Linked DNA regions of Notamacropus eugenii. The protein of the gene in region 1 interacts with the protein of each later gene in a pairwise test. Links are inferred from orthologs where the notes say so. Each region holds a gene or a part of one and is shown on either strand. Other genes may lie near its edges.

Region 1 (14,430 bases):
CCAAAAGCCTCCCTACATGGTCCTTTACTCATATGTGTGTTTGCTTTTAGGACTTCCATGGATCTTGTTAATAGTGCCTAGTTTTTCCCTACTTAAATGTTCTTGGAAAAGCAAAGTGAAAATTGAGTGACCACTGAATGAACATACAATGATACCACACACACACACACACAGACACACACACACAGAAATAAAATACACCCAGTCAATTATTTTGGTCTTAGTTGACCTATCCATACAGAAGCAACTGTATTCTAGCAGAGGTAAAGAAGAGGAATGCAACCGCAAAGATTGGTAACACCTACCAAAATGTACATTAAGGAAATTCTCCACTAGTTTAGGGGCTAACAATTCCACACAAAGACTATTTAATGAAGAACTGACAAGTAGCAGATTGTTGGTGATCCTGAGACTGGCCATTTATAGCTCAGCAGAGGCAGATTCCAAGGACGTTAGCCGATGTGGCAGGGAGAACAAAAAGCAATCTTACTCATCACTGACCTTTTTTGTTCCTCTCTGGCAGTTCAATGTCTCAGCTGAACACCCAGAATGCATCTTGCGTACATGTTCCTTTGGCTTAGGAGGCTCTGAATCTTTTATTACTTGATTAAGGGCCTACTATTTGTCAGACATTGTTATCAGGCACAGGGAGACAAAAACAAAAGAAAAGCCCTGGGCCTAAAGGAGCTTCCATTCTGTTCTTCATACCAGGTACGCCACCTCTCAACTTTGGAACTGGCTCTCTCCCCTTTGCCTCATAGAACCTGCCTCTGCAACTCATGCATCACCTTCTACGTGCAAATTTGCCTGATCCCCACAATGTGAATGCCCCCCTCCCCCTTCCTGCTTTGTAGTTATTCTCTTTCTATTTACTAAGAGGCAGCTTGAAATAGTGGATAAAGAGCTGGTCTCAGAGTCAGAAAACTATGGATTCAAGTCATATCTGTGATACATGCTGGCCTTAGGAGCTAGGCCAGTCACTCAACACCCTAAGCAATTCTCTAAAGCTACAGAGCAGGTATAAAATGGTGGAGTAAATTCCCACACAGGAGGAATTACATAATTCCAATGAAATAGATCTGGTCTGATCCCCAAAATTTACTGATCAATGTACTTCCTTCATTTATTGTCTCCCTCGACTAAGCCTGGATTCCTTGGAAGTGGGGACTGTTTCATTCTCTGTGTACCTATCTGTAGCATATTGCCCTATCTCCAGCATGTCGCAATGTGCCTAAGCTTAAGAGGAAGCACTTCATGCTGGCTGATGGTTTGGTTCCAAGGTGAGCAAACAGTAAATACACAGGAAAATGAATATAAAGAAAACACAAAGTAACAGAGGGGCGCGGGGAGGAGGAATGGGGGCCCTAAGCACACCAGGATGGGAGAAGTGGCAGCAGAAAAGCCTTGGGCAGGAGGAGGCTTTGAGTTAGCCTTGTTCAGTATTACACGGGGTCTGAGGCCACATTTGAACTCCGGAAGATGAAACTTCCTGACTTCAGGCATGGAGCTCTATCCATTTTGGAGAAAAGCTGGGATTGGAAGAAGTACAAGTGACCACCCCAGGCACATGGCATGTAGGGAACAGCAGGAGACTCTTCCTGTTCCGGTGCATTTTCTCCCTGGAGCATATGCTTCTCCTTTCAGCCTGCTGAAATCCTTCTCTTTCTTCAAGAGCCTGCTCAGAAGCCATCTTCCCAAAGTCTTCCCTCATCCCTAACTTTCCTTCTCCCTCTCTCCTCCAAGATGGGGGTGCTGGGGTACTGGAGAGAGGGTGGAAAGCAGAACCAGAAATTTGACTACAGAAGAGAAAAGTGAATGAAAATGACTGGACAAGAAGTCTTGACAGGACTTTGGGGGAGTGACTGAAAAATGTGATAGGTAACAAAATTATTTCAATACAGTTACGAAATAAGGTTAGTTGGTTGTATTGACATTTCATGTTAAGTTTTTAATGAAACTTTAAAAAACAGTACACATATAGTGTATTAGTCCATAAGCTCTACCAAGATAGGGACCATATCTTATTTAAACTTTCTATTTCTGGCTGAGCTTAGAATAAGAGTGAGCATACAGTAGGCACTTGATAAATGTTTGCTGAATTGAATTGTCCTTCCTTGTCACATTCGTGTGTGTGTGTGTGTGCGCGCGCCATATTCTCCCAATTAGATTGAAGGGCTTCTAGAGAACAGGGACAGCATTATTTCCCCCATCCTATTTTTGTACCTAGCATGTACATAGTGAGTGCTTAATAAATGTTGAATCTGATTCAGGTGACAAGCTACTGCCAGAAATGCAATCTCTATTTTAGCATTCAGAGGAAAAATTACCATCATCACCACTACAACAAAAAACCCGGAAAATCTTATTGAAGGACTCTAGAACATCAAACTCACTATGCCCCAAAATGAATTCTTTTGTCTTTCCACACAAACCAACTCACAGATTTCTGTGAGGAGTATCACCAGTTTTTCAGTCACCATACTTTTCCAGCTCAGTCATTCCCTCCTTCCCCAAATTCAATCACTTTCCAAGTCTTGTTTGATTCAATCACCATCACTTCTTAGTATCCTTTCCCTTTTCTCCTCTCACATAATCTCCACTAAAGTTTAGGTCCATATTTTTTTCCCTTTGCTAGTTTACCTTCCCTTAAGTTAAGGTTTGACCACCAAAGGCAGGATGACATGGTTGATAGAGACCTGGTCTGGAGGTCTGGAAGCCCTGGGTTCAAGTCTGGTCTCTGACACAGGCTCTCTTACTGAGGATAGGTTATGTAGTCTCTGTGTCTCAATAAATTGTGGAGCAGTTTCAGTTTTGCATTGGTAGGAGTTTCCTCATTGCTAATTGACCTATGTCAAAGAAATCGAAACCCTCCAAAAAACAAACAAAAATAAACCCCACAGGTCTATGTCACTTTCTTCCTCAAAACGCTTCAGCCCCTCTCTGCTGTGTACAGTACAAACTCTCCTGCCTGGCATTTAAAGTTCTTCACATCTGGTTCCAATCAAACTCCCTAGACTGATTTCTTATCATTCATCTTTCACACTTATGTCCCAGTTAAACAGGCTGATTTGTTTCCCTACACATTCCCTGCCATTTCCTGACTCAGTGCCTGGTTACCTTGCACAAAATACTTTCCCTGACCATCTCTGTTAGAATTCCTGTATTTCTTCAAGAAGGAGGTCTCGATCCTTGTCAAATGATCTCTTCCTCCACCAAATTACTTTGTATTTACTTTTAACATTCTATAGTTACTTATCTGTGTATATATTACGTCTTCCAAAAGAACATAAGGTCCTTGAGAAAGGGATTACTTCATTTTATCTTTTATTCCCAGTGCCTGAAACAGTGTCAGAAACGTAGAAAAAGTGCTCAATAAATGCTTGTTGAATTGAACTTACTTTTAGCAAGCTACTTACCCACCGCTAAACATCATTTCCCTCATATGAAACCTGAGGGGTTGGACTAGATCTTAATATGTCCCTTCTAGGGATAACATTCTATGATTCTACCTGAAGATCCTGGCTCTGGGATTTTTAGTTCACCGCTTTATTAATCCTTCACTTGCTTAATGATCTCAGAAACGGAAGCACTTCTTTCACTAATGCAGGTCTCTTTCGTAACTTCTTATGCTGTGAGATTCTCATGCACATCCTTTTGTAAATCCTTAACAGATGTTTTGTCATTTCATGGATATGAGTGTAACTCCTGGGCTGCTACATGACTGGTGACATTCCTTTACTCATCATATCTGTCCTTGAAGATATCTTTTCTGCCATTACTTCTGCATAGTCACATTGGTAATAGGCTTTATAACACCTACTACATTGAATAACCTAGATAGAAATTATTGCAATATTATTCAATGTGTTGAAACCTATATATAATGTATTCCTAGAAACAATGACATGAGTGTTGAGAAGGAAGTTATGATTTTAATATTAATTGAGATGTGTAATGAATACACTAATTACTTAGTTTTCTCAAGAGGCGCTTCTCTGGCTTGGGAGTCAGAGCTCACAATTCAGCTTGAACTGATCAATCAAACCTTTGACAATGCTCACAATCACCAGGTCTTAAGTGAATCGAATTAAGACTTGTAGAACCTGTTCCCTCCCTAGGGGAAGTGATCATGACCCCAAAAGACTTGACTCTAGAATTGTTGTATCAAAGGATTTCTTGTGGGAAACCATTAAAGGACTGTTTGTGATCCACCTTCCCCCCCCTTTCCCCACCTGTGATGTATATAACCTGTGCTTTTACTTCAGTTTAGAGAATATTTGTCACTTGGAAATTAATTAATTAAACTACTACTTGATTGCTGGCATGCCTGTCTCTAGGCAGCTCTAAGCATTTGGAGACTGAGTCAGTAAAAATCCGTTAACAGTGTGCTTTAAAGACATAATAGGCTTCAGAGGTATAAACAACTTTGGAAACCAGAGAGCTCAACCTCTTCATTTTACTAATGAAGAAACAGTCAACAATTCAGAAATTCAGCAATTAAATGGGGAAATCTGATGGAAACAAAGACCACTAGCTGAGAAGTCAGAAGAGAGAGGTTTAAGTTTTATTTTTCGTCTCCCTCACCCCCAAATATACCCATCCAATAGTAGGGTACCGGTTAAATTAGACTACATGGTCTCTGAGGTCCCTTCAAACTTAAAATTCTCCGTAGAACCTCCTCTTAAAAATGGTAAACAAAACCATTCACTGTATCAATTGTAGCTGACACCACAAGTAACTTTCTATGCTAGCAGTACACCATTTCTTAACAGAAAAAGAAGTGTGTTTTAACTCCAGCATCTGGAACTTATACAGACGATTATATTTGACCGAAATTATATAAGCCTTTATTGTAGTCTTTGTTTATGTCATCGTGGTGTGAATATCCTTTCAGTTCTGCTTCCTTTGCTCTGCATCTGTTCATATGAGACTTCCCATGTCTCTGAATTCTTCATGTTATTGCACTATGGTGCTATCATATTCTATTTATATATCACAATTTGTTTAGTTATTCCCCAATCAACAGGCAACTGCAGACTACTATAATCAAGTCCTAATTGGCCTCCCTGCTGTTCTCCTCTCTCCAATTTAGCCCCCACACAGCTGTCTGGTTTTTAAAGCCCCGCGCAGGCTGGCCCTCCCCCGGCCGGCCCCCGCGCAGGCTGGCCCTCCCCCGGCCGGCCGTCCGCGCCCCGCGCAGCCTGGCCCTCCCCCGGCCGGCCCTCCGCGCCCCGCGCAGGCCGGCCCTCCGAGCCCCCGCGCAGGCCGGCCCTCCCCCGGCCGGCCCTCCGAGCCCCCGCGCAGGCCGGCCCTCCCCCGGCCGGCCGTCCGCGCCCCGCGCAGGCTGGCCCTCCCCCGGCCGTCCGAGCCCCCGCGCAGCCTGGCCCTCCCCCGGCCGGCCCCCGCGCAGGCTGGCCCTCCCCCGGCCGGCCGTCCGCGCCCCGCGCAGCCTGGCCCTCCCCCGGCCGGCCCTCCGCGCCCCGCGCAGGCCGGCCCTCCGCTCCCTCTCCACTCCCGCGGCGTACTCCACGACGCAGCGCTACCGGCCTCCCCGCTGTTCCCGGAGCGAGCTGCCTTCCACCTCTCCGCGGCTCCTTTTCACTAGCTTTCCCCCTTGCCTGGAATGCTGTCCTCCCCGGCTTCCCTCAGGCTCCACCATATTACGCAAGAAGTCTTCCCCAAGCCCTAGGATGTGCCGGCGCCGGCCCGCACTCGATCCCGTGTATTCCCCGTGTATTCCCCGTGCACGGCGGCTGGCGGGCGGTCTCCCCAGCAGAATGGGGATTCCTGGAGGGACTGGCCCGGTTTCGCCTCTCTAGCGTCGTGCGTAATTTACACGTCGACCTGACTCCGGTCAGTGGAGTCTGCTCGCGCCGTTCCCCCGGCTCCACAGACTCCGGGGCTCCCCTATACCTCCCGGGGCCCGGGCACCATCCCTCGTTTCCACCTGTCGCACCCACCGTGGCACAGCCCGGCCCACCAGCAGCGCCTGCCGCCTGACCCTCCCCATCCCTCCGGCGGGCGCTACTTTTCTCCAAATTCGGCTGCAGGGGCCCTTCCCCACCAAGAGTCCCCGAGGCTCTGGGATGCCAATGTCCTTCCCCCACTCTCCGGTCTTCTGGGCACAGCCGCCCCCCCCCCCCCCCTCCGAGAACGGAAGCTCCTCGGGGGCAGGAACGACTCGGCCGCCCCGGAGCCCCCCACGGGCCTGCCCCGGCTCTTTAACAGACGCTCGGCGCCTGACGCAACCCGACGGGTCCATTAGGAAGACTAAAGACTCCGCCCCTCTCCCACTTCCTGAAGACAAGGCTCTGGGAAGCGGGTACGAAGGGCTCCTGGTGGCCCCCTCCCCCGGCCCTTCCCTCGGACGCGACGAGTCGGACTTTTGCCCCCTAACCCTAACCCCCGCACGCCCCGACGGGGCCCCGAGCAGGACACCCTCGGGGCCGAGCCCTCCGCGGCCCGGGCCAAAGTCCGGCAGCTCCAAAGTCAAACGGAAACAAAGGGGCCCGGACCCCGACGGCGCGATCGGCGCCGCCCGTCAAAGCCCCCCCGCTCCGCCCCCCCCAGGCCGGGCGCGGGCTGAGGGGGAGCCGCCGCCCCCACACACACCTGATGCTCCTTCACCACCTCGCTGAGGCAGGGATAGCGCTCTGAGATCCAGCGGTAAAACTTAGGGACTCCCATGTCGACCGTCACCGACCCTGCCAGCAGCCGCCGCCAAACCGAAACCAAACCCCCCGCCCGGGCCTCGGCCGCCGCCTCCGCCGTCGCGCCGCCGATGACAACACAGGCCCCGCCCTCCCAGACCATAGAGAACGCCGCGCCGCCGCCCGCCGGGAGCCTAGAGAGGCCGTGTCCGCGCCCCTCCCCCCCGCCTCGCGCCCGAGCCTCTGCGGGCGGCCCCCCGGCCCGGGCAGAGGCGGAGACTGGCTGAGGGCCAAGCCCTAAAAGGACGGGGACTCGTGGGGGCTAAGAGCCCTTGAGGGCGGGGCTTCCTAAAGGCGGCGATGGGGGCGCGCACGGGTGAAGTCTCGTGCCCCGCCAAGGCTGGCCCCAAGGGCGGCAGGCGCCGGTGCCCCCCCCACCCCATCTCGGGCCAGCTGTCTTCCCGATGACACGCACTTGGGGCCCCGGGCATGGAGGCATCAATGGGCATAACTCGGGGCACGTGCCCCATCCACCACGGTGCCAGCAGGCGCGCAGTTCTGAAAAGATTCCCGTTTGGGCTGAACGTAAACCACGTGGCTCACTCCAGATCGGGGGCTTCTTTGGTAATTTCACTTTTCCGTTGCTTGTGAATCATGCTAAACACTGGAAAAAAGTGACTTAAAGATACACGAAGACCATCGAGTGAGGTTTGTAAGAGGCTGCTAGAGGAACGCGTGCCAGTGCTGCCCGCCGCTCCATCTTCGACTTGAATTTTCCGTGGGGAACATCTCTCAGAACCTTGTTCACACAGGTCCGCAAATACCCACTGTTCCTTACTTGCCATGGGCATGCCACACAAACCACGACGCACTCAAGAACTGTCGCGTATGCCAGTCCCAAACCCACGGTTATCACACGGTGGTTCTACTGAATATGGAAGTCTGGGACAGACCTGAAACATGCCCAATGTATTCACGCCAAGGTTAGACTCGAAATACTGTTACAGTATCATTTTAGACAGATGCCTTCCCCCCTTGTGTATATACAGGGATAATGCTATTTACGTGGTTACAATACATATTTTTCTAAAAAAATTTACATCTGAACGTGTAGTTTTATTTTTGTAGTCCTTTAACAACTGAAATAACATTTTCTGAGAAGAAAGTATAGCAAGTGATCTAGAACAGTAATGAATGCAGGTGGCAATCCGGAACTGAATCACTGTAATAACACCACCTTGGAGTCCAAGCAGAAGGTGTTAACTCGTAACCACAGCTCCATTTCATAAATACGGAGTCCAACCAAGATACATCTGGCACAGCAGGTTTTCGTCAGTTGCTTCTTGAATGAGGTGGTGCACGTGTCCTTCAATGGACAAAGGCAGCCCGGTTACTCTGTTCCTAGCTTTGATTACACCTCGAAGGCGCTGCTCGATGTCATGGACATGAGTCTTGGCCTAGAAATGAGAAAACAGAAATAATGTCTACACGTTAAGGTATGGATGACTATATTTTTTAATTCCTCAAATCTATTCCTCAGCTTCTTTGCTTTGTTTTAACCATTTTTGGTCATATCAGAGACCAACACTTTTTCTGGAATGTAGACAAGAAAGGAAAAAAGAGGAAGATACATTTCAGAAGTTTAGGGTTTGGGCATGGATTCGGACTCAGTCAGTAAACATTCATTAAGCACCTAGCTGTGTACAGAACTATGTTGTAACCACTGGAGATAGGAAGAAAAGGTAAAGGGCAGTCCTTGGCTTCAAGGAGCTCACAGTAGAATGATAGGCAACATGACTTGCAAACAACTGTGTACAAATAAGCCACATGGATGGAGGACATGTTAGAAAGAAGTAGAAAGAAGACACCGGAATTAAGAGGGATTGGGAAAGGCTTTTTGTAGAAGGTAAGATTTTGGCTGAGACTTTGAAGGAAGTCAGAAGATGAAGATGAATAGGGAGAGGATGCCGCGCATGGGGGACAAGACAAAAAATGCCCAGAGCCAAGTGATGGACTTCTGTGTCTTCTGTGAGGAACAGAAAAGAAACAGTGTCACTGAATGAAGTGGGGGGGTGGGGGTGGGGCAGATTATGAAGGGCCAAACAGGACTTTTTTTGATCCCAAAAGTAATGGATGGGAAGTGAGCAAGGGTGGGGGAGATGACATGGTCCACTTTGCACTTTAGGAAGATAACTGTCAGCTGAGTGGAGGATAAAAGGGAATGGGGAGAGACTTGAAGCAGGCAGACCCACCATCCAACTATTGCAATAGTATAATAATAAGGTGGGGAAGGTCTGTACCAGGGTGGTGGAAGGGTCAAAGAAAACGAGGCACAAGAGATTGGAGGATGACACCTACATTTTAAACCTCAGTGACTAAAAAGACAGCACTGCCCTCAACAATAATAAGGAAGTTAGGAAAGAAGTGGACTTAGAGGGAAGATAGTAAATTAAAATTTTGGACATGTTTAGTTTAAGATGTCTACAGGACAGATATCCAGCTTATGATGTCAAATAGGCCGTTGGAAATGCAAGACTGCAGGTCACACCAAAACGGTCAGAGCTACATAAATAGATTGTGAGTCTTCAGCATAGAATAGATAACTGAATCTGGGAGCTTTAATTTCTACCTCATGTATCCAACTCTGATTTAATGCTACTTTCTAGACTGTTTGGGGAGATGTGAAAAACTACAGATTGGGACGTGCATGAACTCCCCACACTTCCAAAAGCCCATTCATTAAATAAGATGTTCAAGATAACTTTCTAAGAAATAAGGGATGGTGGCAGTTCGGTGAAGGAATGAAGAACCTGTTTATTGAGAGACAAATGGTGCTTTGACAAAACTTTCATTCAACAATTATTAAATGCCTCCCTGTGACCAGTATATCATACTGTCTTATATAAAGCTTGAGTGTATACGAAGCTTTAACTCTGGGGATTTCGATTCTTCTTGTGACAAGTTAACATGAAAAGAAGGTACAGAGAACCCTGGCACATAAAGAGGGTGGAGGGTTTCAGAAGAGATGGAGGTTCCAGACAAGAAGACTCATGTTCGCTGTGACAACAGTGCTATCTGTGGAACTTTCTTTCCAGCCCAGAGATCTGACTTTAAAAGTCAGGTGACTTTAACTTTGGATTTTGAGTCTTAAAAGGCTACAGCAACCCAATGAAGTGGACATTTTCCTAGACTATTAAAACATCAAGTCCTATCTGTCCTTCATATTATCATCTTATAGAAATTAATTTTGTTTTCCATTGTGCTAAATATACAGTTTTAAAGAATTCTTTCATGTTTAAAACTCAGTTAAAAATTTAAGTGGAAACTTCATTATATCCTTTCAGTCACCATTTATTAGGTGCTAATGTGAGGATATGAATACAAAAATGAAAGTCTTTGCCATAAAATAATTTACATTCTACTCAGGAGATAACATGTATACCGATAAGTAATAAAAGGCACTTTGAGGAAGAAAAGAGTACTAACAACTGGGGGATATGAGACAAAGCTTTGTGTGGAACATGGCACCTGGGTTAAACTTTCAAGTAATGGAGATTTTAGGAAGGAGAGCATCCTGGGCAGGAGAGAGAGCCTGTCTGTAGGCATGGAGACCAAAGATGAAATAACAAGTTTGTGGAGCAACTAGTAGGCATGTTTGACAAGGAGGTAGAGGGCATGAAGGGGAATGATATACGCTAAGTTTGGAAGGGTAGGTTACACTTTGAGTGTGGAAAGCTTTAAATGGTAGGTAGGCTAAAGAGTTTGTATATTATCCTATGAGCAGGGAAGTGACATGGTCAGAAGAAATATCAACTTGGAAGTTATGAAACTGTACTCTTTGGTCTACTATTAAGCATATACCCCGAGGAAGTCAAAGACTTCAAAAGAAAGGACCTAAATGTATGCGAGTATTTATAGTAACATTTTTTTTGCTTGTTTTAGAAATAAGACACCCATCAGTGAAGGAACAGAGGAGGAAACTGGTATAAACGTGCAATAGAATATTGCTGCACTTTATGAAATGACAAATGACTGATTGAGAGAAATCTGGGAAGACTTGTATGAAATGATAAAGAATATAAAGTTCTGAAGGGGATAAACAAAAATTTTGCTACTGCTTTGTTAATTTTATTATACAAACATTTTGCATTATGTAAAAGCTCATAATTTCATATATAGTCTTTTTGTTTTTCTTTGTATATTGAAATGTTTGATGATTGTTAAATTTGTAATTTGAAATGTCAATTTGTTAGTGATTGTTAAATTCATAATCTGAAATGTTAATCTGGGAACCACATGGAGGATGTATTGAAATGAGGAGGCACTAGAAGTAGGGAGAACAGATAGGAAGCAGTGACAAACTGACCCAGGGTCATGGCCATATGGAATCTAATTTGCATATTCTTTTCAACTTTCCATGAGCTTGGGAAATTTTTGGTCAAGTTTTTCATTCATCATTTTAAACAACTATGAGCTGTCTAGTTTAATTTGTGTCTGCAACTTTTTTGGCTACATAAATGCTAATGATATAATCAGCAATCATGACAGAAGTCAGTATATGCAGCATTCACAAACTTAACAATACCAAAGAACAGAATAGTGGCTTCTCCCATTTATACGGTGCTCTGAGGTTTGCAATATGCTCTTGTCACAATCCCTACGTGAGGAATGTAATGCCGTGTTATCCCAGATTAAGAAAACTGTTAGCAGAAGGTACAGTGGAGAGAGTGCTGGAATAACAAGAGGAAATCAAAGCCGTGTGCCTCTGGACAAGTCATTTCATCTTTGCCTCAGTTTTCTTACCTGCAAAACAGGAGTAATCAGCACCTACTTTGTACAGGGGTGCTGCGAGAACAAAATGAGAGTGTCTGGGAGGTGCTTGCAAACCTTGAATGCTAAAGAGATGCTAGTCATCATTATTATGATATTACTGTAAAAATGAAGACTGAAGCACACGTTAAGTGGCTTGCTGAGGGTAGTTAAGGTGTTCTAGGTGAGACTTTAACTGAGGTTATGTGACTTTGATAAGGTAATCAAGTTAAAATGTACTTATAGTTCATGATTACTGAAGCCTATAAGGGAGGTAGTCTGGTATAGGGGAAAGAATGCTGAACTAGCAGCCAGACTACCTGAGTTCAAGTACTCCTTTTTCACCTAGTACCTTTGTGACCCTGGGGGAAGTATTATAACTGTTCAGATCCTCAGTTTCTTCATTAGTAAAAAGTGTATACACAGCAAAGTGGCATAGTGGATAGAATGCTTAGTTAGGCTGGAGTCAGGAAGACTTGATGGGGTGCTTGGATGCCTGTGCTTAGATCCCAATTCTAAAATCACATTTCTCTTAAAAAATCCTATTTCTCCCTAGCCTCAAAACTATCCCAGTCAGTTTCTCCCCAGCCCAAGGACACAGCCTGCCCCAGCAACAACTGTTATCTCCTTGCTATAGCAGCCAGCTGCACCTACAGAACTTATTAGTCTGAACCAGCTGTGTACTGGCTGAGCTGGCTGTGCACTGGGTCATAATGACATTTACTTTTACTACCCACTGACCAATCATATGTATCCTAGACATAGCCATACGTATACTCTCTTACATTTATCTTGTCTAACAAGACGTTGATGAGAATACCCTGTAATTTCTTGGTCATCCCTGACCATTAGTTAACTTAGTTTCCTTTCAGGCCTAAAACTACACCTCCAGGTAGCCCCTGCCTTGGGCTATTTCCCAATGAATTCTGGGTAAAATACCTGTGCAGCAGATACCAAAAGTGCATGTTCCTTTAAGAACTAACCACTCCTTAGCCACTCCCTAATCCCACCCTGAATCACCCACTTAGTATATCTGGCCTATTGAATATCCTATTACCTGTACCCCTCTAAAGTTGCAGGTTCCCTAAGAACTCTTGCCCGCTGAAAAGCATAATTAATTACCTTGACCTCAACAATGCTTGAGTCCGTGAATTCTTCTCCAGGCAGCGCACAGCAGAGAATTCCAGTTCTGGAGTTCCTGTAAACCCCCCTTCCCCCTCCAGCCCTCATCAGACTCATCTTCCTGAGTTCAAATCTGGCCTTAGAAACTTACTAGCTGTGTGACCCTGGGCAAGTCACTTAACCCTGTTTGCCTCAGCTCCTCACCTGTACAATGGAATGGAGAAGGAAAAGGCAAATCACTCTAGTATCTTTGCCAAGAAAATCCCAAATGGGGTCATGAAGAGTTGGACATACAGGAAATGACTAAACAATGACAACAAAAATTCATTTCCTATCTCATAGAGCTGTGAGGATCAAATGAAATGATACAAGTGAAAGCATTTTGTAAAGTGTAATGTGTTATGTACATACAAAAGATTATCAATCTCCATAAGTTATATCTTCTAACCTTTTCGTTGACAACTTCCCCTGTTTCATTCAGTTGTGCTTTTGAACTCCCTTTTACTGGTTTACTCCACTCCACAAGAGGATCATGAATAAAAGTCTTTAAGACGCTAAAAACAAAAACAAATATTCTTAGTAGCATAGACAAAATATAAATTCTATCAATCACAAAGACACAGAAACAGATAATTTGAACATTATTCAACAGATTTCTAGGTAATACTAATTTCAAAGTGATTATCAGGAGCCAATTATAACATCAGTACAAGCAGACACACTGTAATCTTTCCAGTAAAGAAATGAGTGTTTTTTAGGAAAGGAGAAACTTAGAATGCCCAACAGAACAAGGTCAGAAAAACCCAGAGGAAAAAGTATGGAGAAGTCAGGTAAAAATTAGAGTAAAAGTTTTCAGCAAGACCAGCCACTTCTCTACCTCTTTGCCAGTAGCCTTTCCACCTGGAAATCCTGAGACCTTGGGGCCTGCCCTCCCTAGTTCAGAATGACATTTCAGGAGGGAATTCAGTTCTCTCCCAGCTTGACTTACTCCCCACACTTCACCTCCCCACCAAAATCCTTATACCTTCAAATCCCTGCTTTCTAGCTTCCCTTTATGACTTGTCTTCCCTCATTAAAAGTTCCTACCTTGAAGGTAGGAACAGTCTCATTTGGTTATACTTTTATCTCGTATGCTTAGCACAGTACCTGGCACATAGGAAGTCCTTAATAAATGCTCTATCTTATTGATAACTCAAAAACATTTTTTAAAATGCCAAATAAAGTAGATCAGTAACTAAGAGAGAATAACAAAAAGGAACTCTCATAAGTAACTGTGATGGGGAAAAAACTTGCCAAGGGGGCACCCTGTCAGCCACAGTTTCTCTGACTCTTCACCCTTAGCTGAGAGTTAAAGTTGAGCTGAGGGTGTGAGACTCCTTGCTGCAGGGTGGAGGCTTCATCTGGCAATAAGATGCCTCTGAATGTGATGATTACCACCTTTGGGCTCAATATGGGTGTGGCTCCAGCAGGTGTGAAAGGCTTAGAAGTTTTGTAGTCTTTTGTAAACTAGCCTTAGAGGAGTCTGTGGCTTGGTGGTAATTCAATCTGAACACGACAATCCTGAACAAGAGAAAGTTTAGAAGTTAAGATTCTGCTGTGGGCAATGGAGGAGAGAAAGAAGCAAAAAAAGAAAATGTTAAAGCAGGGAGACTAAGGAAATGAGCAAACAGGAAAACTACTAACATACTGAAGGAATCCCAGGATAACCCTGCAACAACTACAAGTAGAAACCTAGAAAATAAAAATAACAGAATTTCATTTTGTAAAAATTTTATTCAACAACAACAAAAAAATTACCTACATCAGTTCTGAGAGTGGTTGGAAGCCCTCCTATGAGGATGAAGAAAGA
Region 2 (14,965 bases), on another chromosome or scaffold:
TACAGTAGAGCGTATAGATGTCAAACTCTTCACTCTGTAGGCAATGAGTGTGGTCAGCAGGGACCCTAGCTGGCTGCCTTCTCCCACCTTACACAAATGCCACACACATACACACACGCACACACACACACACACACACACACACACACACACACACACACACACAGATCTGGAATCCCAGCCCCTTCTCAATCCCCTTCCTCTGTTCTCAGGATTACCCCCTCCCAGGGTTCTGGGGACCTGCCTTTCCTCTTGGTCCCCGACTCCCAATGAGTGTGTATTGCTAGCATCTAACCATTGCTTACCCTTTGAACAAAGCAATCAGCGATGCCATGGGCACTACTGCTATTCTCCAAGTCTTCTAGGAGCTCGCTGTAGGGCAGGGAGTGGGGACAGGGGAGGTCCGGGTCACAACAGGAACCCCCAGGTTGTGAGAAAAGGTCCCCCATTTTGAAGGGAGGTCCCTTTGTCCTCTCCCAAATCTCTGAGATCTCTGCACCCCCATATTCAAGAGTCATTATACCCATGCCTCAGAACCAAGACCCAGGCAGACATATTGTCACCCCTGAATCAAGTGGCAATTATACCAGCTCCCCCCAGATCCAGAGTCCAGGAATTCAGTTCTTGGAGCTGATATTAACTCCTGGGAAGAAGGGATCTTATGGGAAGGTCATTTATAGAGGCCCTGATTGTCCTTCTCCCCCTAGCATGGTATTTAGAGTGCTGGAATTGAAGTCAGAAAGGCCTGGGTTCAAATACTTCCTCAGACACTTAGTAGCTGTATGACCCTGAGCAAATCAATTCATGTCTTTGAGCCTGTTTTCTCATCTGTAAAATGGAGCAGCCCTAGTATGTTATCTAGCTTCATGTCATTGTTAAGGGACAATGGGTTACAGTGTAACATGATCCCCATAAGCTAAAAGAGGAGTTCTGTCCAGAGACCAACTCTAATGAGAGTCTAAGTGGATGAGAGTGGTTTTTTCCTGGCAGTGTGCCCCACAATTCCTAGACATTTGGGTCTCTTCTGACCTGCTAAACTCATAGATGTCTTCGATGTTGGAGAAGAGGGTCCCAAGATGTTCTGAATTCAGCCCAGGTGGGCCATTAGCCACCAGACATCCCAGGTAGTCCTGAACGGAAGAAACCCAGGTCTCCAATACCCCTACCCCTAAGCCAGGTTGATAGCTGGGGTAGGAACTGGAGGGGGCTGAAAGCACAAGGTATGGGCCCAAGAGGGCTTCTGGGAGAATTAAAGGAGAGAAGAGTTTTCTGGAGGACCCGGATGGTCTTCCATTTGGGGAGTCTGAGGAAGGATCCCCCCTCACCTCCACAATGCTCCTAAGGTCCCGCACATAAGCCCGCTCTGTCTCCACAATCTCCCGGACCACACGTTCCAAGTGTGAGGGCTTCTTGGTCCCTTGCCCTGGCTCCCCTCTAGGCCCCACGGGAGTCAGGTGCAGTCGGATGGGGGGACCTGGTGGGGGCTCCAGGGCTGGCACAGAACAGGCCTGACTGGAGCTGGGGCCTGGGCTGGGGCCTGGATGAGGCTCCCCCTCAGAGCCCACAGTACTCAGAGATGTAGAACTTCCAGATCCTCGGGGGGAGGCCATGGGCAGAGTTGGGGGAAGTTCTGTTGAAAGAAATGACCAGGTCAGACTCAGCAGGTTTCCAGGGTCATCTGACACACTCCCCTTCAAACAATCCCCCTTGCACCATCATCTGGTACACAAACATGCTTGCCATAATCTGTCCACTCCTCTCACCTCGGTGGCTACACCCAGGGCTTGGGGTAGGGCTGGGTTTGGTAAGACGGTGAGCTCCCTCAGGCATGGCTGGCAGATCTCAAAGCACTGTCCTGGGGGCAGCAGAAAGGAGAGAGGCCACTGACATTTGAAGAAAGTGAGAGGAATAAGATGGTTAGAAGGTTAGGGCAGAGATGAGTAGAAACACACACAGGTTTAGGGACACAGAGAGACACATACATACACACTCCCCTCCTCATCAAGGTCTCTCTGGGAGTGGAGTGAGGAGCTGATGGGCCTTTGGAAGGGGAGGAATCAATTGGGCAGAAGAAAGGGAAAAGAGAAAGACCCTGAGAGAAAGAGACTGAGAGAAAGAAGGAGAGATTGTGATAGGGAAAGAAAGGGAAAATGAAATAGACAGAGATAGACAGTAAGATTTCTATTTTCTATTCTGCTGTCCTTTGAAGGAGAAAATAAATTGCCTCATGATCAGACAGGAGAAGGGAAGGGAGAGAGGAGGGGAGGGGAAGGGAGAGGGGGCCAGAGAGGAGAGAGGAAAAGAGGGGGGGCAGGCAGTGTGTGTCTGGGGGGAGGGGCTGGGAAAAGCTGCGGGGGCGGGAGCCTTGGAGGGTCCCCAGGGAAAAGGAAAAGAGGAGGCTGTAAGGCAAGATGCCAGGGTCCCAGCTGAGCCTCCCTCTTTCCATCCCTCTGTCTTTCTTTCAGTCCCTATCTCTCTGATTCTTGTCTCCTTTGGTGTGTTTCTGGATTCTGAGAAGTGAACACAAGCCCCCAACCATAAACTTCGGCTGTACCCCAGCCATATTATTACCTTTGAGCAGAGAATGGAGCCAGACTCAAGCCCTGATGAATAGACCATTCCTTTCTTGTTGGAATCAAGACACGATTTAAGGGACTTCCTATGTCTGCCCCCTCCAAGATCCCCAGGGATCAGTTCTAAGAGCCAGAACACTGGAGAAGCCTATATCTGGACAGAGAGGAATGTGTCTGGGCTCTGGATCTGCACAAAGGTCCCCGATCTTGGCTTGGGGTGGGGGGGCAGGGATGTCGGTGTGGATTCTGAATCTAAGAGGAGGCACTAGGGAAGTCTAGTCCCCACGTCCACCCAGGGGACCCAGGGATCGAGCCGACTTCCAAGCCATCCCTTGGTTCTGGGAGGAGAGGAGAAGGAGGGGGCCGAGGAGGAAGGGGGCCCGGGAGGAAGGGGGAACCGGGCTCTCCTGGGTCCGGCGCCGGCCCCGCCCCCTCCCCGCCCGCCAGCTCGCCCCCTGTTCATTGTTCCCGGGCAGGAGCCGCCCCTCCCCCGCTTCCCTCCGCTTCCCCTTTACGCCTCCCCCGCCTCCTCCAGCCACCTCCCCCCTGCCGCCCCCCAGATCTCACCTTCTTCCAGGGGAGCTGGCGGGGCCCAAGACCCCGGAACCCCTGCGGGACCGGGGCTTGCAGCAGCCGGCAGCGCGTGTCCGAAAGGGGAGTCGGAGCGGGGCCACCCGAGGGGGCCGGAGTGTCCGTCCCGGGGACAGCCGAGGGGCCCAGGCGGGCCGACTTTGGCCGGAGGTCCGAGCGGGCTAGGAGGGAACACTCCAGGGCAGGGGCAGGACCGCGGGGAGGCTGACGGCCAGCCGTTAGTCTGTCTGTCTGTCTGTCTGTCTCCCTCCGTGGGTCGGTCAGTCCCTGGGCGCTGGGCCGGGCCCGGCCGGGGGGCGGCGGCGGCGCCACATCTGGGGAGGGGGGCCGGCTCCAGCTGTGGGCCGGGAGGAGGGGACGAGGCAGGCGGGCAGGCAGGCAGGCAGGGGGGCTTGGCTCCTCCCCGCCCCCTCCTCTCCATCCCCGCCCCCTCCCGCCCAGACATCCTGTTCCCGCCTGCAGGGGACTCGGGAGAGGGTGGGGTTAAACCTAGCCAGACCACTGGGGGTTAACATGCCTCATGAATATTCACCACCTCGCCCACTACCCCAGCTTGGGCCAAGTCCAGCCAGGAGGGGGCCAGTTAGGCCCCTTCACCCGCCCCCTTTCTCGGGCTGTAGGGCAGCCCCAGACTGGACTGGAGGTGCAGTGGTTGGAAGGCGGAGGATCCAGAGGCTCCCTCCTCCCTCCAACAGCTGGAAAAGCTTCCCTTTTGTAGCCCGGGGTTCCCGGGGCTAGAGCGTGGGAACTGGAGGAGGAGGGACCTGGGACTCCCCCCTTCCGATCCCCAGTTCCCAGCCTTGAGTCACTGAACAGACCTGATCTGAGCTTGCCTAGCGGAGGGTGGGGGGCGGGGGGGGGGGGAACCTCTGGAGCCTCAGTCCGTCATGCTGGATCCCTCCAGAGCATCTCTACTGGTTTCTTTGTATCTCCCAGGGGTCTCTGTGTCTCATCCATCTCCGTCAGCCTCTACGAAGATTCCTTTTTCTTTCTTCCCATAGCTGCTGGGGGCACTTGTCCAGGATCACCCTTCCCCTATTTGGAAGAGGCTGGGCTCGAACCCAGGATTTCTAAGAATTTAAGTTTTAGTACAGTTGACAGCTTGCTTCCTATGGATCAGGACCAGCACCAACTTTAAGATATTAAGCAACTACTACGGGCTGGGCGCTGTCATTCTCGGATCTTATAATTCCTAGTTTCCTTCACAACTCAAAAGTTGTGCTTTCTACGTAGCAAGATTCCTAGTGGCTAATGCTTTCCTGCCTTCCCCCTCACCTGGCATTTATTTCGTAACCCTAAATCAGGATGGCAGTTGAGCTCCCTGAGAGCTAGATAATGGACTGATTAAAGAATCCCCCAATTCCTCCAAATTCGAGAGTTTTCCCTGTTTGTGACTTCCTAGTTATCCTGGTTAGAGCTTCCTTGCGTACATTGGTTGGTTCCTTGTCTATCTCCCCCGTTAGATTGTGAGCTTCTCGAGGACCGGGACTTTTTGCTTTCCTTTATAACCTTAGCTTAGTGTCCCGTGCGTATTGACCTTTCCACCGACTGTGGTAGGCGCTGGTTCTACAAAGATCTGACCCTATAAAATATAGGAAATCATCCAGGCTCACCGGGAGATTACACAGGGGAGGGAGGTGAGTAAAAGTCACTAGATAAGAAAGGACAAAGTAATTTCGGAGATAAGGCAGGAACAATTCCGAGCACCCGCCAAGGTCTCCAGATAGCCGCCGCGGGGCGGAAAGAGAAGTTTCCGTTTTCACCTCTGAAATTTACACAAAACCCTCCCTCGTTAATTCCATTCATTCAGCCTGGGGTGGGTAATCGATCGCTAAGTACCCAGGGGTTAGGGGACACAAACAGCTCCAGTCTCCACCCGGAAGGGGTTTGCATTCTAGTGAAGGGACCGAGCCGAGATCACTGCCAGAACATCTCACTTATTCAAAAATAATACAAAGTAATTAGGAGGGGGGAGAGGATCGGGGGCGGAGCATCAGAGTCTAGAATTCTGCGGTGGTTTTTTTCCCTTCAGATTCAGAGGTCCGAAATCCCAAATCGTGCCCGGGGCCGCCACGTGGCGGGTGCCCAACTCTCGGGGATGTGGGACAACCGCACAGATAAGGAGGGAGAAGGATCCCAAGCGCCCCTGTTTAAGTCAGGTCTAGGGGCAACCTGCCTCCAGGCAACCCTAACCTCCCATTTACTTGTCAACTCGCAGGACGAAGGGCACCCGAACACCCAATTCCGTCCCCTAAACCTGGACATCCCAGCACTACTCCTTGCTCCCGACCCCCGTCCTAGGTTTGTTTCAGCCAGTGGCGACAGGGTGTAGAAGGGCGTTTTTCTCATTGGCCGGCAGGGGGCAGGGGCGAGCTGTAATGTGGGCAATGGGGATGTGGGCGGGGGTTGGGTGTGCGCATGCGCCCGCTGAACACTAGAGAGCGGCGGAGAAGTTTCTGGGGAGGAATCTAAGGGACGTCACGTGTGACGTCACGCAGGCGCAAGAAACGAGTAGACGAACGAAGAAGGAAGAGAACCGGGAGAGGAAGGGTCACGTGGATAAGCCTGAAGGGGCCCGCTCCGCGGGACTTTCGCCGAAGCTCCAGTGGCGCAATCGGTTAGCGCGCGGTACTTATACAGCAGTGCGGCCGTAGCGATGCCGAGGTTGTGAGTTCGATCCTCACCTGGAGCACAGACTTTTTCCCCCACTTTATATTTGAAATTTAATAGAGAATTATGAGTCCTGGCTAGGCGTGAATTCGCAGCCTCGGGCTCCTGCGCTCCCGGGATCCTGCGGGCTGGACGAGGTGCCGTTCCGCACGGCGGCCGCGAGGGGGCAGCCACGGTCTTTGTGATGGACTCCCTGAGGGTCACTCGGTCCCCTCGTATCAGATCTCGGGGCTCTTTCTAGACCCCAGCGTTTCTGGGACTCGCTCCCCCGCCCCCTCCGGTTTCCCAGAAGAAGAGGCCGAAGGTCACAGGAGGCCCAGGGAAGGGTCCCGATGGAGCCTCTCGGATGAAGGGGCGGGGTCCGCGGCCTTGACGCAAGGCCCCGCCCCCGGGGAGGCCTTCAGGCCTTATACGGGCATCGGAGGCCCCTCTCTTCCCTCCCCTCCCCAGAGTCGGGGCGGGGCTTCCGGGGCACAAGCGCACACAAACACACGCACCCCTGCGTCACTGACACGTAGCCTCCCGCCCAGCCTGGGCAGGGGCACATTCCGTCCCCATCCCCCCTCCCGCCCCATGCTCCTTCCCCAGCTAGACGGAAACTTCCCGTCCCCACCCACGGCCTCGGAGAGCGAAGAGGACGGGCAGAGACCCCGCACCCTTTCACCCCCTCCCCCGCCGTCGGTGGGTTAGACTGGGAGCTCCCGGAGGGCAGGTGCCGTCTGCCTTTGTGCCCAGCCTTTATTGGCGCAGGACCCGTACGCCGCAGGCGCTCCACCAGAGTCTACTGGCTGACGGGGAAGGGAGGAACCCCCGCTTCGACACCAGGAAGTAGACGGAGGCGCAGACTGACCGGGAAGGACCAGAGTTACAGGAAAGGGGACTTTATGAAGCGCCTCTGTGCTGGGCGCTGTGCTCGTTCATCGCTTTACCAGTATTTCATGTGACCACGAGGTTCCTGAATCACCGGGAGGGCAGGGACAGAGGCACGGACTCCCCAAAGGCCCCGAGAAGCCTCTTGGGATCCCTCGGACACCCGAGGAGACGCTTCTGAGAGTCTCAGGAGGGAGGGCAAGTCAGAGAGACCCTCCAAGACAGACACGCCAGCCCTAGAGATAAGGCTGGGATGAGAGACGAAAGAGGGGTGAAGGTGGAAACCCCTTGAAACTTGTAGCAAGAGACTGACAAAGAGATACAGACAAGGCTGAGGGATGGGAACAGCAAGTATGGAGGGCAGGTATCAGCCCGGAGGAAGATAGAAGAAATGGGCGTTGTGGAGAGGGACTCAGGACCCAGCCAGCAGAGCAGGGAGGCCGAGCCCGGACAACCTTTTCTGAGCTTGTTATTAAGATTGTAGTCAATCCCTTTCCCCACCCCCAGTCCTTCCTGGTGACCTCACCTGGGCCACCTCTTCAGGTGAGGGGGTGCCCTCCTTTCCTAGGTGAGTTCATCTGGAACCGCCCTAGCCTGGGGCCAGAGGAGTTAGGAACCAGCTAGACCGGCCCCCTAGGTCTCAGGACAGCCCTCCCCACCCCTGAACCTCAGGAGACGGACAAGAAGACAGCCTTTCACACATAAGATTACTCTTTTGTGAACTGTATTAGTTTTAATTAAAAAACAAACTCCACCAAAAAACAAAAATAGAGAGATTTCTTTTTTGTTTAGCTATATATATATACACACATATATAATAACCTTTCAAATATATATTATAGTGGCAGCAACCTCCCAATATTAGACAAAAGGGAGAGGAAACGACTGCATATATAAATACTATAAAACCCGTAGGAATAAATAATGTCGTCACCATAAATAAGGGGCCCCAGGTGAGGCAGGGAGACTTGGATTTGGTCTGGTTAGGTAGGATTTGAGCACCAGGGCTGGGGAGATCCCCATCCAGGGGAGACTTGGGGAAGCCTTTTCACAGCATGAAGAAAGGGGGGGTATCTCTTATTCTGACCCCCCTCTTAACAGGGTGTCTCAAAGACAGTACAGTTTTAACCTAGTAATGCTTACAACTGAATTAAGACTTTGGGGACACACTGTAATATATACACACATACATATATGTAGGTATATATACACATATATGTACATATGTATGTATGTATACACACATATGTCGATTCAGTATGCTACATTAAAAACCCACCCCCAGAACACCTCTTTGAGAGTTTTTGCTCGCCATAGGGACCTGCCCCGGGAGACTAGGCAATGGGTGAATGCTCTGGGGGCTAAGCAGATGAGGCACCTCCACATCTGGGCACAGCTGGCAATGGGGGAGAGGAACTTCCTGATCTCCTACTCAGTTAAGTTTGGAGTAACAGGGGTGTTCAGTCAGACACAGAGAGCCGGTTAAAGATGGGGAGCCGCCGGGGAGGAGTCAGGGCCAGGAGGTGTGAGTTAGAGGGGGCAAAAGCGCCCCCCACTGCTACCTCAAACACTGGGGAGTCAGACCCCCCCAGGCTGCTTCCCCCACTGCTGGCCTGGTCATCTGGCTCAGAGCCCAGGGAGTGAGCAGAAGGGCTTCGGGCCAGCCCCAGCCCCAGCCCCAGGCTCAGGGCATCCCTTGTGGGTCCCCATGTTCCCGTGGTCTGGCGGCAGGAGGGACAGCAGGTTTCTCCCACCGTGGCTTCCCGGGGCACTGGACCAGGGGCAGCAGAGAAGGCAGAGGGTGAGAAAGGGACCTCCCCGGGGGCGGTGGGCAGTGGGGGCGGAGAGGAAGGAGGGGAGAAGAAGCCCGAGGGGGAAGGCAGGTCCGGCAGACCTGGAGGGCTCAGGGTGGGAGAGCCCCGGCGTCGAGAAGAGGGGATCCCAGAGAAGCTGACACTCTGGCGGAGGAGGGGCGGGTGACCCGACACCACAGACAGAATTTCGTGTGGAGAGTGGATGAAATGGCAACGGTTTCCATAGGGGCAAGCGCCCATGGCTAAGAATTTGCGGCACAGCTCCGTCTTGTATTTGGGGTGGCGGCTGGCTGGCCGCAGCTCTCCAGGCCCGTGGGCGAACTGGCACTTGGAGCCGTAGCGGCATTTGCCACTCTCCGAGAAGGTCCGGCAAAGTTCCGTCTTGTATCTGGACGAGGAGGCTGCCCCGACCGGGGACGTGGAACCAACTTCCGAGGGCGCGGTGCTGACGGCTGGCACGGCTCTGGGCGGCAGGGGCTCAAAGCCCGGCGGCGGGGGCACCCAGGCGCGGCCCTCCACCAAGCTAGTAGAACGGCCTGGGAGCCGGGGACCCAGAGAGGCCGGGGCCCGCGGGGGTGAAGGTGGCTCCAGATCTGCGAGGCTTGGACTCCAGGGGCTTCGAGAGCCCCAGCCTAGGTCGGGGTCCAGTTCTCCGCGAGCCGCCGAAGCCAGCTCCGGGCTCAGGGACAGGAGTTTCTGTTAGGAGGGAGAAGGATCAGGGTGGGATCGACGGTCGGACCTAAGGTCGCTGAGCCGTGCAGAGCAGAGCAACCCCACCCAACTGCACTTCTGACCCCTGGATAGTGCCCGGGAACTAAAGCGTTGGTCTAGGCTCTAGAGAACTCCCCCAAACTCAGCCCCACCCTAAAAAGGGGGGGGGTGAGGGCCAGGACCCAGGCGTCAGTCTCCCGGTCTCTTTGCCCCTACTGACTCCACCCTAAGGCAGCTCAGAAACTAGAATCATTAAGTTTCCCCCAGTAACCCCCCAACTTAAAGAACCCCAGTTACTACTCCCAAGACACCCCCGGCGCACACACACACATATGCCCTGAGGAAGCAGCCTCACCTCCCTTCCAAGACTTGGGTTCCCTATCCTAGAGGGACCCTTCTCGGATCCCAGAGGGAACTCCAATTTCCGAGTCTGCCAAGCTATCTGCACTCAAGAAAGCCCCGTGGCACCCCAGTGCCCAGAAGTGCTGAGCGAAAGGGGAAACGTTGGCCGTCAGCGCCACGGCCCTCCCAACCAGACCTCAGGCAGAGGCGGCCGACACCTGGGTCCGCTGGTTCCAGAGAGGTGAGGGGGCAGGCAGGGGTAGGGCGAGAGGGAGGGGGCAGCTCACCTCGTAGAGAGCGCATAGTTCCAAGCCGGCGGACTTGGGCTTCCCGCCTGCAACGGCGCTTCCGTCCATCCCTGCGGATGCTCTGGCTCTGCGCGTAACCAGGACTGTGGGGAGGGTGGCCAGCGCGCTACTCTTGAAGGACTGCTTTTGGGGGAGGGGCCTCTTGGTGCCGCCCAGGACCCACCCATGGGGAGCTCCAGAAGCTAGAGACAGAGGAGGCGGGGGGACCGGGAAAGGGCGGGGACTAGGGAGGATTCGGGGGAGGAGCGATTCCCGGACTGAGTGCCCCCGGGCGGGGCGGGGGAGGCCCAGCACCTTACTCTGGGCGAAAAGCTGGCCCTTAGAGGTCCCCCAGTCACTGGATCACAACTCCTAGGATTTAAGACCTAGAAGGAAACTCAATCGTCTTCCAGTCTAATCCCCCCTCATTTTTCAGACGGGGAAACAGACCCAGAAAGGACCTGAAAAGATCTTTCCCAGATCCAAGCCCCTCCTTTTACCTATGTGGGAAGCTGAAGGTCAGGAACTGGAAACACCATTAAGGTCCCAGAGCCAGAGCCAGAGGCAGAAATGACAGACACAAGAGTAGATACAGTCAAGCACTAAAGACCTGAAAGCCAGATGTCAAGGGACAGAGAGACTCAGAAGGGGAGAAGCCGCCAGTTTACAAATTCTCTAACCCCAGAGAATACAACCAGAAGAGAAAGCTGGGAGATCATGAGTGGTAGATTTTCCAGAAGTGGAAATTGAGGCACAGAGAGGGGCAGGGATTTGTCTCAAATTCCTAAGGGAACTGGGCAAAGTCAGGTTTCTTGAGACAATGTCTACCATTCTTAGAAATTTTCTCGAGTCACTAAAGTCAGATTTTGGGGGAGATGGCCTCTTAGTTGGAGAACTGTCTGATTCTAGGCCTGTGTTGGGGCTTTTCTCTGACTCGAACACATTTAAAATAACAGAAATCTTCATTTTCCCAAGTGAAGGCTTCTCCTTCAAGTGCTCATTTTCCAGAATGAAGACTTCTGTGAGGATTAGAACTTGTGGGAAGCTTCTCTGGGGAGGGGAGGGATGGTCAGGAGGGACCTTCCCAGGAGCTGGGACCTCCCCAAGTCTCCCTTGGGTCCCGTGAGCCTGTGGTCTCCAATTTTCACCTGCGCATAGTGGCTGGCTCTCACGCTCCCCAGTGACTCACCCACCGCAGGGTGTGTATGTGTGGGGGCCCTTCCTGGAATCAGGTGACGTAAGGGGAGGGGGGGGGGAGCTGATCCGATGCTGGGGTTCCTCTCTCCTTGTAAACAGAGAGCTGAGGAACCTCAGTTTTCAGCATGCTCTTCAGATCTGGGCCTTGATTTCAGCTCAAAACAAGTGAAACTGGGACCCAGAGACAAGGTCACTGCCACCTGATAGGGAAGATGGAATGCTCTCTTCTCCCCACTTCAGAGGTTCCCAGAAAGAAAGTCCTTCCCCAAGACCCTTCCCCACTTTTCACTCATCCTAAGGGGAATTGGTTTGTCTTTCTCTTGGGATCTGAGCTTGTGGGTACATTCCAGCTTCCTGACTCATTCCCTGACGACTCTCTGAGCTCCCCATGCTCCACCCCCTAAACCAGAGTGTTACCTCACCATGCCTCAGAACCAAGGCTCCTGGGTCTAGGCCCAGCTTTAGAGGTAGAGTGGAGAGGGAGAGTCTATGAACCCCACTGAATTGGTCTCAATCAAAGACCACAGTTTTCACTCCCTCACTAGTGTCCTCAGGGAACCAGGGATCCTCCAGCCCCCCCCCCCCAAACAAAAAAATTCAATAATAATTTCAAAGATTTTGGGAACTTGGTATACAGGCTAAGTAACTGAGCATGTAGTTAGGAAGACCTAGATTGAAATTGTCCCTCACACACTTGTTAGCTGGGTGAACCCAAGCAAGTCCAGGAGCCTCACTAGACCTACTTCTTTTTCTATAAAGGGAAAGGGGGGTGTCTCTCTTAATTTCTAAGATGCCTTCCTGCTCTAAATCTATGATCTCAGAGGCCTAGCTGTTTAGCCATCTAGCCCGACTCCTTGGAGTACCAGGTCACCAGCCTGGCATCTACGCCCTTAGGTCTCAGGCCTCTCTACCTTTTTACAATCAGTTTAAATCAGTATATTTCTAGTGCTTAGCATCAAGCCTTACATAAAATGGACATTTGAAAAAATTTCTTCTAGCATCCCTCCTTTTGAGTCTTGCAGAAATATACTCCTCCAGGGTCCCAGACCTCTAACTCCCCCAACTCCATCTCCCCTCAAGGATTCAGGTTTTCACTCTCCTTCCAAATTTAGGTCATCACAACCCTCTGACCCCCTTAAATTCCATAGCCTATAACTAGTTCCTGGCTCCAAAGTTTCCCAAATCTCTGGGTTCCAGGAGTCCTTTCCCCTCCTTCCCAACCTCTGACAGCTAAGAGTACCAGATCTCTGACCTCTAACCCCTCAGATGACCTTACAACCTCCTACCCCCTAGCCTTTGGGGCCAGATCAGATCTACTCACCTTCCCAATATCTCCTGAAATTCCTTCCCTTTCTTATGAGGGGCCCCTCCTCTCACATTCTACCTCAAGACAGTCCTGATGTTTTCAGCATAGAAATGTGTATACAGTAAGCACTTAATGTTTGAATTGGGAGCATCCTCACCTTCTTTGTGGAATCTACGATTAAAAGCTTTTTGTCTCTTCACTTGGCACAGTGCTAGGCACATAGTAGATGTTTGTTGTTGACTTGAGTTGGCTCATAGTCTCCTCAGCCACATTGGCTTCCTCTGGCCTGTGAATACTTAAAACCCCAGGTAGCCTCTGCTTCCTAGGCCAGGAAGTTAGGTGTTTGGAGCTGTGAGAGGGAAAATCCCGATTTTGGGAAGTCTGGCAGTCACCATTGTTGGGAATCCCCTCTGGAACGAGATTGGGGAAAGGGTGGGACTGGGGGCCACGGCCTCTGGGATGGGGAAGGGGGAGGGGAAGGGGGCGGAAATTGGCAGATCTAAAAATATCATCAAGCTTCCGGCCCAGAAGGTGGGCAGAGTTTCCAGAACAACATGGGAGAGGGAGGCCAGGACCGGAAACCGCCAAGGCCTGAGAGAATGAGAGATTGAGAAAGAGACAGACAGACACAGACACAGAGATGGAAACAGAGAGAGAGAGAAGGGAGAGAGAAAAGAGAGTGACTGATGATCGGATCGCAGCCTTCTAAGCGTGTCAGACAACTCAGGAACACACAGGGCAAGGTGACAGATTGTGTCTCACTGTAGCTTTCAGATGAGATTATGTGTGTGTGCCCCCACGGGATTGTACTGGGAGGAGGAGGGGATGGTTTGTGTGTCAGCCCAAGACCCTTTGGGTCTGCCTGCCTTTGAGGGCTTCTGATGGTGCCCAGTGACATCTCTGCCTCATGACTGAATGTGTTCCCCCCCACAGGCAGGGGGAAAGGACAAAGTGTCCTAGTCTGGGTGTCTTCCCCACCCCTGGCTAAGGGGCCAGAGGAATTTCCCAGGCCTGGCAGAAGGGCATGGACCCTCCCCTAGGGGCTGACCACAGCTGGATCCCAGATGTTCCCGGAGAGGCTAGGTCAGGCCACCTCCCCTCCCTACCCACCAAGAGCACAGTTGCAGGAACCTGCTCCGCCCTTCTCACTTCTCCTTTGGGGCTAAAAATACTCTGGACCCTGGTGTCCAGGCCCCACCCCCCCCTTGCACAATCAGCTGATGACGCAGGCAGGCAAGCCCAAGGGGAGGAGGAAGATGAGGGGCCCGAAACTCTCCCCCCACTCTCAGGTGTCTCAGACAGCCTGAAGGGTCAGCATGAAGAGAAATGTAAAGATGAGGAAGGCTAAATCCATAATCCCTGCCTACCCTCCCTGGGTCCCGGTCCCCACTTCCTGGTCCTTCCCCAGCAGCAGGCAGGGAGGGAAGTTAGGGTGATTGACTTGAGACTGGCGTCACAGCTCCCTTTTCCTTGCATGTTCTCACTGAAGCCTCCTCCCCACCCCCTCACCCCAGTCTGGGACGCCCTTCCCTTTTCAGGGTCCTGGAATCATGGGACCTAAAAGGAATGTAAGACGTCATTTAGGCCAAGACCCTCTCATTAGACAAGAGAAAACTGAAGACTGAGGAGGAAAGTGCAAGTCTGCCCAAGATCACAAGGAAGCTGGGTTTCAGGACCTCTTATAGAGGTCCTTCTTAGAAACCCCAGCAGAAGTACCCTCCTTTCCCCAACTGTGATCCTCTTCTGCCTCAGGGATCCCCTCAGGCCCTCCTCCATTCCCTATTCAAGCATCCAGCCTTTGGCTCCTACTCTGGAAAATCAGAGTGTCCAGGGTTAGCCCAAGATCAGGTATATGCACTGGGGGTGCGGTAGCTGTGATTATATAACTGGGGGATTTCCTCCCTCCTCTTGGGAGCCTGGGGTGAGTCAGGAGCTGTGTCAGCAAAGCTGGTCTGGCTAGGACCCAAGAGCCCTTCCCCTCCCCCTCCCCTTCCTTCCCCTCTCAGGGACCCAGGCTTTCACCCTAGAGCTCCTCCTTACTTATCCTTGTCCCAATTTTCCTGGTGAAAGGAGATAGAAGGGGCGGGGAGAGGAGTGATCCAGTCAGAGGGAGAACAGAGATCCAGGGCTCGAGATACCCCCCTGGCAAAGGCAGCAAGAGCCTTAGCTACATCCAGAGACAGAACTGGCTAGGGGGAGAGAACGAAAGATCCTGCCAGAGACAGTTCGCGGCAGTGACAGAAGTCGGAGCAGAGAAAGTCAAACTCGGAGACCCAGTCAGAGACAGTCGCAGGCAGAGGACAAGGACTCAGAAACAAAGATCCCGGGACAGGGAAACCGAGGTCCAGCCAGAGACAGTCCTAGGCAGAGAGATCCAGCCAGAATTCCAGAGACTTCAGACAGAAAGACCAGACTGATAGTCTCAGGAAGAGACAGAGACAGTCCCAGGAAAAGAGAGATCTAAACAGGAGTCAGTCCCAAGCAGAGAGATCCAGGCAGTAAGAGACGGTTCCGGGAAGAGAGACGGGAGGGGGTGGGGAAGGGAGGAAAAGTTGGGTGTAACTGACAAGGCTTTCAGACTCGGGCGTCCTCCCCCCACCTTCC

Evidence for each region.
Region 2: the proteins of XRN1 (region 1) and ZFP36 interact in a two-hybrid assay, tested with the Homo sapiens proteins (2 studies listed by BioGRID). The link is inferred for Notamacropus eugenii from reciprocal best matches to the Homo sapiens genes XRN1 and ZFP36.

The regions. Positions count from the first base shown.
Region 1 is NC_092877.1:330,607,073-330,621,502, forward strand, and holds the start of XRN1 (5'-3' exoribonuclease 1), read right to left. Parts: upstream 6,814-14,430; coding exon 6,613-6,813; intron 1-6,612. Other genes in the region: serine/threonine-protein kinase ATR, read right to left, coding at 7,934-8,107, 13,030-13,135. UniProt on the Homo sapiens protein: Major 5'-3' exoribonuclease involved in mRNA decay. Required for the 5'-3'-processing of the G4 tetraplex-containing DNA and RNA substrates. The kinetic of hydrolysis is faster for G4 RNA tetraplex than for G4 DNA tetraplex and monomeric RNA tetraplex.
Region 2 is NC_092876.1:32,194,213-32,209,177, reverse strand, and holds ZFP36 (mRNA decay activator protein ZFP36), read right to left. Parts: upstream 10,044-14,965; 5' UTR 9,928-10,043; coding exon 9,859-9,927; intron 9,215-9,858; coding exon 8,165-9,214; 3' UTR 7,412-8,164; downstream 1-7,411. Other genes in the region: PLEKHG2 (pleckstrin homology domain-containing family G member 2), read right to left, coding at 1-34, 306-372, 1,030-1,130, 1,326-1,630, 1,764-1,830. UniProt on the Homo sapiens protein: Zinc-finger RNA-binding protein that destabilizes several cytoplasmic AU-rich element (ARE)-containing mRNA transcripts by promoting their poly(A) tail removal or deadenylation, and hence provide a mechanism for attenuating protein synthesis.